Nothobranchius furzeri: one gene and its partners. Each later gene encodes a partner of the first gene's protein in a complex. Links are inferred from orthologs where the notes say so. Each region holds a gene or a part of one and is shown on either strand. Other genes may lie near its edges.

What was found.
Region 2: smarcd1 (region 1) and dpf3 share a complex: the UniProt entries of both Homo sapiens proteins name them as parts of the BAF complex. The link is inferred for Nothobranchius furzeri from reciprocal best matches to the Homo sapiens genes SMARCD1 and DPF3.
Region 3: smarcd1 (region 1) and phf10 share a complex: the UniProt entries of both Homo sapiens proteins name them as parts of the neural progenitors-specific chromatin remodeling complex. The link is inferred for Nothobranchius furzeri from reciprocal best matches to the Homo sapiens genes SMARCD1 and PHF10.

Annotation. Positions count from the first base shown.
Region 1 is NC_091743.1:58,853,369-58,857,023, forward strand, and holds part of smarcd1 (SWI/SNF-related matrix-associated actin-dependent regulator of chromatin subfamily D member 1), read right to left. Parts: intron 1,095-3,655; coding exon 919-1,094; intron 301-918; coding exon 258-300; intron 149-257; coding exon 26-148; intron 1-25. UniProt on the Homo sapiens protein: Involved in transcriptional activation and repression of select genes by chromatin remodeling (alteration of DNA-nucleosome topology).
Region 2 is NC_091742.1:25,606,888-25,610,642, reverse strand, and holds the start of dpf3 (zinc finger protein DPF3), read right to left. Parts: upstream 2,375-3,755; 5' UTR 2,260-2,374; coding exon 2,228-2,259; intron 1-2,227. Other genes in the region: wdr21 (WD repeat domain 21), read left to right, coding at 3,641-3,720. UniProt on the Homo sapiens protein: Belongs to the neuron-specific chromatin remodeling complex (nBAF complex).
Region 3 is NC_091749.1:34,751,418-34,755,172, forward strand, and holds the start of phf10 (PHD finger protein 10), read right to left. Parts: upstream 2,430-3,755; 5' UTR 2,220-2,429; coding exon 2,148-2,219; intron 1,248-2,147; coding exon 1,141-1,247; intron 993-1,140; coding exon 862-992; intron 606-861; coding exon 522-605; intron 442-521; coding exon 317-441; intron 221-316; coding exon 71-220; intron 1-70. Other genes in the region: rab4a (ras-related protein Rab-4A), read left to right, coding at 2,876-2,891, 3,551-3,631. UniProt on the Homo sapiens protein: Involved in transcription activity regulation by chromatin remodeling. Belongs to the neural progenitors-specific chromatin remodeling complex (npBAF complex) and is required for the proliferation of neural progenitors.

The DNA of each region.
Region 1 (3,655 bases):
TATGAAAAAGTGCAACAGGTGAAACCTTAATGGGTCTCTTGAGGGCCTCCTGAATGTCCAGCCTCTTACGCATAATGGTCTGATCCAGCTTCCTCTCAAACGCCAGCAGATCCATGTAAGCCTGAGACTCTGGGACCAGTTCCCTGATCTAAAACACACCAACAGATGTGCAACAAAACACAATTACAGGAAGTTCTAATCATGGCGTGGGTGATTAGATTCAGTATCATTTCCATGCGCTGCAGTCTAACACTCACCCTCTGAGGTAGAATTTTATCAGCCATCTTCTTCTTCTTTGTGCTTTAAAAAAAAAGTTATAAAAGATAAATTAAGTTTAAATCTTTACAAACGTGTCCATAAAAACAGAAGGCAGGAAAGCCCTTTACGTAGACTTCTACAGCCTTCAAAACTGGTGTAAAGTCACACAAACGCACCGTCACCACACAAACAAATCTCATTACCACCATATTCCAGTTACTAACTCAGACATCGTGATCTGGGTTAATAATCCTGTTGGTCCTAAATCAAATCCTACAGATACATCATAAAGATAATTAATTACGGCAAAGTTATACGACTTTTCTCCTTTAAAAAAATCTGCTGAAAGTTCAGCTTATTAAATATAAATGAAATACCGATGTTTGATTTATCAAATCTTTTTTTACAATTACATTTAAAATACTTGTGTTTTTTTAGTCAATTTTTACTGTGAAGATGTGATTTGACCAAATGGAAAAAGAAGTTTCAGCTGGGTTACTTATCGTTTAAAAAAAGACCAGAAGCAAGAACAGAACTATAAAAACCTCTGAACTCATTTCAACATGTGTTTTGCTTTTCTACAGGCTGAAATGGGTAAAAATGACCAGTGATGCTCCAGTGGACATAATAAAACCTAAGCTCTGGCTGCGCGTGACTCACTGCTGGTTGCGATTCTGCTGCTGAACTTGCTGAATCTGCTGGGGGGCCGGCCTTTTTCTGGAAGGGTCCATCACCCCGGGCATCCCAGGACGAGACACGGGGCTCCCGCCGTACCCAGGTGGCCCCATTGCTGGTCCCTGTGGTGTCATGCGGCTAGATGGAGGCATACCGGGTCTCTGCAGAGAAAAAACAGCAAAGAAAACTCATTAAAATTACTTCTAATAACAAAAATGCTTTCGTTTCACTAGAATGGAAAATTATGCTTCGCAACCATTTAATCCGGAGTGGAAAGAGTTTGTAGATGTTAAAAATATTTAATGGTTTCCACAAACGTCTGTTATAAGGTGACCCATAAACCAACTTAACTTGTATTTAGCAATGTCCGACATTCGCAATATTAATGATCGTTTCCTCCTCTTAATAACCAACTTTTACACACTATACCGTATTATACATCACACTCTTCTGCTGCTTCTCTCACTCAAATATGAAAGGTCCAGGAAAAAGTTTTGATGTGTTTTTGTTTGGTACAACTTTTGAAGAAGAAGAAATCTGTCCAGTCAAGTGGGTGTTTGTCAGGATTATCTCAGGGATTATCTCATTAACGTTTCTTCCATTGCTTAATTTACATTAAAGTAGTTGTCATATTTGGCACAGACAATGTTTTAGGTGGAAGTATGTATGATAAGAGACATGTGACATTGGGTTACCTAAAACTATTTGAATTTTCCCAGAATATTGGTTTACATCATTACCAGAAATTAAGATTAAGAAATTAAGATTAAGACTGGATATCAGTAAAGAAGCAGATATTTATTACCTTTAGTGCCCTTTAGTGTGTCCGGGTAAGTTTTTAGAACATAACTTTTTTAAACATTCATTCAGTTTTTGTGTATTTTGTAAAAACGTGACTGCTTTTCAACGCCGGACAATCAGAACAAATTTCCAACAAGCCATATTTTAATTTGATCGATACACTATTCATTCATTTGCAATGATGCAGGCGTTGTACCAGTCTGTTGTGGTGTTACCTATCGATCTATGTTCTCACCCTATCTATGGTCACGAGCTTTGGGTAGTGACCGAAAGAATGAAATCGCAAATACAGGCAACTGAAATGAGTTAGGTTTGAGCATCGAGCATTGATTGGAACCAGTCCCAACTGTTCTTTTTTACCGGAATCGTAAAGGTTTTTTTTTTCGATGCCTAGTTTTGATTCCTAGAATGCCGACCAGAAGAGGAATCCGCGGCCGATCTCCGTGAAAAATAAACGTGATCTGCAGATTGTGATCAACGCTTTTCAGAGCTGATGACACCAGCTGTCTGTGTGCAGCACCGAGTCCCCCCTCCCCTCACCTGGCACGCAGCGGCCAAATATAAACAAACGCGTCTGCCGAACTTTTACTCCCTAATGTAAACTTTAACTCCTGCAGCTTAGAGGACACTTGTTAAAATACGTCAACATGGTGGATTTAATAAAAGCTTTAAAGAACAAACTCTGGATGGTGTGAGGTGAGTTTGTCTCAGAGCAGAAATAAAAACACACACGGAGCATCAGCAGTCAGACGCAGCCACTCAACACGTGTGTGTGTGTGTGTGTGTGAGCGTCAGAAGGCTGAACTGTAGAATAATTAATGTCATCATGGTAGAGAAGCTTCTCTGTGGTGGACCACACCAGCTTCTGCCACAATAAATAATAATAATAATAATAATAAATCACACACAAAGCTGTGAACATTTTAATTTCCTTTCTGAACCATTTCTGTTGAGAGTTTTAATGTTTAAAATCTGTCACTGACAGCGGCTACGTTTAAGTTTTACATTCTGTTCTGACTGAATGCTGCTGCAGCATGGAGGTGTAGTTCTCAGTCATCCTGGACATGATCATCCTGAGAGTTTTAGCTGAAAACAGCTGGACGTTTCTGGATATGTTGGAGACATTTAGCCTTTCATCCCAGAGGCTTCTTCCAGACTTTGGTTGTGGTCAGAAACAAACACACTGGTTGTGCTGCAAGTCTTTTTCTTTTTTTCTCCAAAACATGTTTCTGTCTAAATGAAGGTGATGTTATTGTTCATTGAATTAAAATTCATGTTGAAGTTAAGATTATTTCATCAAGTAGGACCTGTGGTTATCTGGTTCATGTAAAACATGTCATGTTTTGAAAGAATCGGAATCGGGAATCGATAGGAACCGGAATTGAAACAAGGAATTGAAACCGGAATCGTTCAAAATAAACGATGCCCAACCCTAAAATGAGTTTCCTTCACAGAGAGTCTGGGCTCTCCCTTAAGGTTGGTTTATGCTTGACGCGTCCGCGAGGTCCGCACGGCTCCGAGCGGAAAAGTTGCGTCATTTTGCGTAGGGCTGTAGCGAAGCCTCGACGAAGTCGACGGCTCGATTCTAAAAATTTGTCGACGTCAGATCCGGAAGTCGACGCACCGCGCCCACTTGTTGCATCCCCAGGAGTTTGTAAATAGAGGAGGAATCTGCCTGTTTTTCCTCTAGTTCGCCCTCTTCTCCGCCTTCACTAACATCTCCACCAAATACCGAAGACCCGGAACAACGTCCGTCCACTACTAGATTATTTTCCTGTTTTGCCCCTTCGTCTCCCGGCAACGGACAACAACTTCCGGGGTCAGATGCGCTGCTTCGTGTCTATCGCAGATGTAGAAAATCACCGGGAGCGCTTCTCCCTTCATTAAGGAGCTTCTTTCAGACATTAGGAGAGCTGTTTTG
Region 2 (3,755 bases), on another chromosome or scaffold:
TGTAGTCACCATGTGCCTCATGCAGTTCAACACATCTCCGTTGGAGTTGATCAGGTTGTTGAATGTGGCCTGTGAATTGTTGGTCCACCCCACTTCAATAGCTGTTCAAGGTTGCTAAATTTTGTCAAGAACTGGTTGTATACAAATGTGCTTGATGGGTGGCACATCCAGTCAAGCAAGAACTGGGATCTTTTCATCTTTCAGGAACTGTGCACAGAACCTTGCTAGACGGAGCCGTGCATTATCATGCTGCAAAATGAGTTGATGGCCGTGGTTGAACTGCGCAACATTGAGCTTCAGGATCTCATCACGGTATCGCTGTGTGTTCAATATCCCATCAATAAAATGCACCTGTACTTGTTTTCCATAACATATGCCTGCCCATAACCTCACCGCCACCATGGGCCACTCGATTCATCATCCTCGTCGTCATCGTCTTCCTCTGCTTATCCAGGTCCGGGTTGCGGGGGCAGCATCCCAACTAGGGAGCTCCAGACCGTCCTCTCCCCGGCCACCTCCACCAGCTCCTCCGGCAGGACCCCAAGGCGTTCCCGGACCAGATTGGAGATTTAACCTCTCCAACGTGTCCTGGGTCGACCCGGGGAACTCCTGCCGGCAGGACATGCCCGAAACACCTCCCCAGGGAGGCGTCCAGGAGGCATCCTGACCAGATGCCCAAACCACCTCAACTGACTCCTTTCGATCCGGAGGAGCAGCGGTTCTACTCCGAGTCCCTCCCGAATGTCCGAGCTCCTCACCCTATCTCTAAGGCTGAGCCCGGCCACCCTACGGAGGAAACTCATTTCGGCCGCTTGTATCCGCGATCTCGTTCTTTCGGTCATTACCCAAAGCTCATGACCATAGGTGAGGATTGGGACGTAGATGGACCGGTAAATCGAGAGCCTGGCTTTCTGGCTCAGCTCCCTCTTCACCACGACAGATCGGCTCAGCGTCCGCATCACTGCAGACGCCGAACCAATCCGCCTGTCGATCTCCCGATCCCTCCTACCCTCACTCGTGAACAAGACCCTGAGATACTTAAACTCCTCCACTTGAGGTAGGACCTCTCTCCCGACCCGGAGTTGGCAAGCCACCCTCACATCAGTCCTGAAGAATGTAATTTCTCTAAACTGAGATTGTTTCGGAAGACTTTTACATTGAGTAAGACGGATATATTTATAACAAAAAAACACTTTAAAGTTGCTAAAATACCCCTTAAAAATGTAAAGTCAATTCTAAATGTATTTTAATACTTTGACTTAAAAAGTGCTTATCTTTTTCTGCAAATATTAGATCTGATGCACACAAATAACAGATGGGGACCCCCATCCGTACTCCTTCATCAGCTCCTAACTTGTGCCTTTCTCTTAACAGATAGACCCACAGGAGAATACTGGGACACTGTTAATCTCCTGCTTGACAGGCACAACCGCAAACAAAAGCTAACGCGTACACTCACTACATCCTAATCTGTTTTGATGGAAAACAACAGCTTAAAGCATTTTTTCCCTTTTTTTCCAACAAAGAGCTTTAGATAACAACGTGTATTATTTGGAACACATTTACCCAGAAAGGTCATGCTGAAGGTTTTAAAAGAAGTGGCGCAGAATTGGATTACGGTTCCTATAACAAAACCTAGAATTCTTACACACACACGAGCTATCACTGAGACACATGACACATGGCAACCTTTTCTAGAGGGGAGAAAAAGCAAATTAAGACTTATAGATTTCCAAATCATACAATATGGTTGTGTTGCCATTTTCTGACAATATGTGTTTAATATTGGTGCAGATTTCCTCTACATGCACGGCCGTGTTTTAATCTGCTCCTGTGAGTATACTGTGCACGCATTTGAAATAAGTGCCCGTGCGCGCGCCAGTTGTGATGTCATTTGCATCAAAATTTTCATCGCTATTAGGGATTCCCCGATGCAAACTTTTACCAGTCGCTTCTTTTTTGCGTGAAACTTTCTTCATATGCGAAACCAACTGCACAACGAGACTGGATGTCTAAAGAGTGTGCTTTTTTTCTACAACGTGCATGCTTTTATGTGAGGATCTTTGCACAACAGCGCGCAGCGATACCTGATTATAACAGACAGTCCGAGTGCAGATGAAAGGCTGCGTTTATGATTCCTATCATTAAAAAAACACATGGAAAAGGAACCGTTGTGTCTGCAGCTGCTCGACTAAGATTTAAAAAAGGATAAAAGAAATACACTTACGATTTTAATGGATTATGAATGACAGTCGCCATCTTTCTGCAGAACTGTAATGCAATATTCCAAATCTGTGTGCAGTTTGGGACCCTTCTTAAAAAAAAGAAAAAAGGAAAAAACGACAGCCAATGCGGTCCTCTGCTCTTTCTAATACAACAGAAGCATCAACACATGAGGCGTGGCTTCAGTGAAATATGTCAACATACTCTGCACTGGAATCATTCCACTCAAATAATTAGATTTAGTTATAAAACAGCTGTCTAAAAGTTTATGAGTTGTACGCCATTACCAGATGTTCTTAATATTTCTACAATTTTTTATCTTTTTGTTTGAACATTTGAGCATTATTTGTCCTAATTTACATTACATACTACCAATGGGTATAAATCACGAAGTTCGTGATCAAAGTTATTAATTTCTGTGATTTGTTTGTTTTTAATGTTCAACATCATTAATCATTTCGTAGAGGACGCGTATGCTACATTTAATGTCCACCGGAATTAAATGTAGCCTTCAACGCACAATTATTGTTTCTTGGAACCACGTGACGGGCTCAGAGTTGTTTCTTGTGCTCAGCTGTTAAAAATAAATGCTCAGTTACTTTAATTGAAGATTATTTTCAAATCAATAAAAGCGCAACAATATAGTAAAACTATTATTTATACAATTTCAATATTATTTTCTCTTACTTTTCAGATTAATATGGATTTTCGTATTAAAGTAGAACATGGTGGATGACAAATCAAAATTATAATTACCGTATTGATAATTGTTTCGGCTTTTCAGTGATTTTTGTTTATTGTTGATTGAAAATTCAAATGTCCCACATGATCTTAAATGCAGCAACCAATGAACGTATCTTACGTCCGAAAATTGTTGTTGAAAAAATTTACCAATGATAAGTTCGAAAGGCGGGACTATGTAAAATGACGTGACGTTGCGTTTGTGAACAGTTGGTAAGTCAGCATTCGCTCTTTCATATTTGTCTGCTTAATTATTGAGCAACCTTAAATACTTTGATGACTTTTGATAAAGTAAAATATTAAACCTGAAGTACAAACAGTTTTGTCTCACTTTGCCCACGGAACGACTTGCCCATTGAACGCGTCAGTACAAGTAGCATTTTCCTTTTTCCGAGGTACATCGAATGCCGCATTACCGTAAACCAAGTAGCTCAAGAGAGTTTAAAAATTAAGTCATAATTAGTACTTTATTCTGAATTATGTTTGTTCATCGTCACTAGGATTAATTTGCTGTTTTAAACCTTTGTTGTATGCAACGTTTTTGAAGTCCAGCTACATTAGCAAACGTGTCGCTAGCTCTAATGCTAACGTTGCTAACTTAGCTAACAAGTAATCACGTCGTGAACAGAAAGCGTGATGTGACAACCTTCACTGTTGGAGCCAAGAAAAAAAAAGGATGAAGAAACGAAACTGGCCACAAAGTCGTCGCTACGGACGGTACATAAACGACCGTGAAAGATCTGCTGGCGACGAACAGTGTGTACAATATAAACATCCATAGTGTTCCTGAA
Region 3 (3,755 bases), on another chromosome or scaffold:
TAAGACATAAATCTTAAAACACAGCTGGTTAGCGCTGTGTCATTGTTGAATGTTTGATGTTGTATTTTACATGAGTCTGGAGGTCAAAGTACGCTCTCCGCTCCTCCATTCGCTCCCTGTTGAAGTTACTGTTGAACTCTGCAGCTTTTTTCGCTGCCTCCTTTATGTACTCAGGAACTTTACTTGCCTCCACCTTCTGAGGGTTCTGCTGCTGCATTTGCTAAAACATGACAGAAAACAATACAAGAATTAAGACCATTTTAAAAAATATTTATCAAAGCAACCATACCAGACATCCTGTTTATTCCTCACTTACAGAGTACTCTTTAGCTATTCTCTGTCGCTCCCTTTCCTGCAGAATGACTGAATACTCTGAGTGTTTGGTGGGATACTCTTTTATCATTAGATCGATCACTTCATCACTCCGCAGAGCTGTGAGGCCTGCAGACATGAATGCAGCAGGATAAAAAAATGAAGTGAGACTAAGTGTGCATGTAAAGTTAAGAGATATTATTCCTTACCCAGAGTGCATTGTGTCTCCGTGATGACATTCTGCTCACGAAGATAGAGCTTCTCCTTGTGGGACAAGTCTCTCCTTTCCATGTCTAAAAAAATCATAGATAAGAAATAAACTAAATCATAATAAAAAAAAATGAGTGCAGCTTCATAAAAATAGATCTAACATGGAGTCTGAGCCACTTTGCCCCTTGTTTATATAATCAAAAAGCACAATAGCTCCTCTACAACAGCTTATCACAAATATTATTTTGAAGTTTTACTTGAACAAATGCATTCATACAAAATCATTTTGAAAAAAGGAACAGAATTCCAGCTTGAACACAAGGATCCTCTCAGCCTCACCAGGATACTTCCTCTTGAATGACGTCACTCCCAGATACTCGCTGACCTGCTCCTGCAGCATGTAATATTCTCCTGTTTCATCAGCAGGCCACTTGTACTCCGTCAGGTTTTCTGCTGGGAAATATGTTGGCCTGAACAAAAAAAAAAATCCACTTTAGGAATAAAATTGCACATTCTAGAGTACAACACCTGGGAAAGTTTGACAAGTAAAGTGTGTTTTAAATTTAACAATATTGTGTAAAACATGACGGTAAAAACTAGATTAAAGCACCCTCTTACCCAAGCTCTTGATTGAAGGTATCGCAACTTCGAGAGCTGTCCCCCGAACCCATTCTCCTTCTCTTAGGTTGGCTGCCATCATTGGACACTTCCTCTATTACATCCTCCTAAAAACAGGAAAAAAGCTCTTCATTAAAATAAAAAAAAAAAACATGCTGAATGTTTTTATCTTTATCAAAAGTTCTAATTTATTTCAACTTTTGCTGCTTTTTACACATTTTCTGCCCAGTCATGTAACAGCAGAATAAGAGGTGATTAAATATTTAAAAAATTGTCAGGTTTCAAGAGATGTATACATCAGGTAAACTATTCCTGAAAGTCACAGTGCTTAAGAAATATAAATCTATCCTGGAAAAACCTGACAAAGGACCATGAAAGTAGTTGTTTACAAAAGACTTGAGTGTTTCCTCTGTACCCAAATCAGTGAAAATGAATGGAGGGCAACCAAAACCTGAAATGCAATACAGCTGCATCATCAACTTTAGAGGCATTAACCTCTAGAATAATAGGGTTCAAACCCTCTGGCTTGAGCATCACTTCTAAAAAATGAAAGTTTATAGAAACTACTGTACATATTAGACAAGACCATTTCCCTGACAAGGTAGGATTAAAAGACTCGTGTGTTGTTTGCCAGTTCAGGGTTACTTCATACATTTTTTATTTTAAATGAGCCACTGCAAAACATGATTTATGAGTGATATAATAATTCATTACCTGTAAACAACTCACGTGTACAAAACGTGTTATTTTAGGAAAAACAAGTATAAGTTTCATTAGATATAAAATAAAAGTAGAACTTAAAATAGAGAAATTAGCAAATAATGCATTTTGAGGTTACGTTTCGTTTTTATACGAGTCAAATTACACAGGCGACTTTTCAACAACTGAAAGGTAAATTGAATAAACTGAGCACACATGAAAACAAAGAATGGACGCTAATACGGCTAACGGGGTCATTCGTGGACACAGGCTGAAGCATGAAGCAGTTTAAGGAGTGTGAATGTCACCTTTAAAGATTGCGCTCCTGGGGTGGCAGGATTACTATCGCAAGGTGGTCTAATGGGGAGCACAGTAGCCATATTTCGACAAAATAATGTTCCGCAGCTAGGCTAGTTCACTAGCTTGAGTCTGCGTTTCTTCTTCTATGGTAAAGCCTTCGGTTTAGAAAGCGAACTCTCCTGGCCTGGATCGGTGATAGAGGTGAAAAACGTTTTACTTTTAAATACCAAATATTCCGATCATGTATTAAAATCATGTGAAATCGGTTTTGGTCCTTTAACGCAAGGTTATCACAGCAGAACAATTTTTAAAATAGTTGTCTAGCTGCAGTCAGCCAATCACAGTGACCACTACTGCCGCCTACTGGTCAATACTTGCACGTATAATCCTTCAAGTTGACAACAATAATAAGTAATATATCTGGTCACTAATTATTACAATGTGGATGTTTCTTATTTGTGATTATTTTTTACATCTATAATAAATCATGATTTTAACGTTTCTGGAGACTTAATAACAGCTCCATAGTGAGGCGAAAACTATATAGTGCATCACAGTGTCGGTCATGGAAGGACTTTTACTTTGAAAGGAAGAACCTACGGGAAGTCGGAAGGAAAAATCAGCTGGAATGCACGGAAATTATCACTGGTGTATTCCTTTACTGAGCTAGCTGTGCATCTGTCAACTTTTATTCCTCCCTTCATTTTGCTTTTGGAATCAAACCGCCACATTGGCGATGTCGGAGTCTTACGGTAAGGAGTCTGCTTTAAACCGAGGCAACAGTTAACGGGTGCCTTCTGGTAGTCAGTGGTAAAGACGAGGCAGGTGTGCCCAGAAGGCGTTTTCTCATCGCAAAAAGATAGCCGACAGGCTAACCGTTTCACCACTCAAGGCTTCTGGCCTTAAAGCAGAGCTGTCAGTCAACTCAGATCATACATCTGGGTTTGATGTAGCTTTTCACACTGAATGTAACGGAGCTTTTGGGATTCTAATCAGAAGAACCGCTAGATACCAGGTAGGGGTAAAGAGGAGGACAGGGCTGGCATAAATTTGAGGCTGAACTGTTCAACTTTTTAAATAAATAACCATTTAATGCTCTCTTTATGTGTATATTTTACATTTGGATCATTCTAAATCTCACAGTAAAATATTATTGCAGCATACAAAATGAGTTGTTTACACCATAAACACAATGAACAAACCTGTGGTTAGTAAGCAGGTGTCCCTGCCTTTATAAACAAACCATCAGGTATTCATGTGTAATATATATCAGCTGGTTTATATCTCAGTTATAAAATAATCTTGATTCAAATAAGATTAGGATTAAGATGAGCTAGTGCCTATGAATGCCACATTAAGAGGGTCAAGCTGAGCTTATGTCTATTAAATGATTGTATTGTTCCCCTTGTAGATTTCCTGTTTAAATTCCTGGTAATTGGGAATGCTGGGACAGGAAAATCCTGTCTGCTGCACCAGTTCATAGAGAAAAGATGTAAGTTCTCTATTATTTCCACTTCTTTCACATTTTTTTTTTTGTGATTGATCATCTAAATGCCTGGCTAATTATTCAGGTTGATCATTTATTGTTTTGAGAAAAATCCACATTGGCTGTGTTT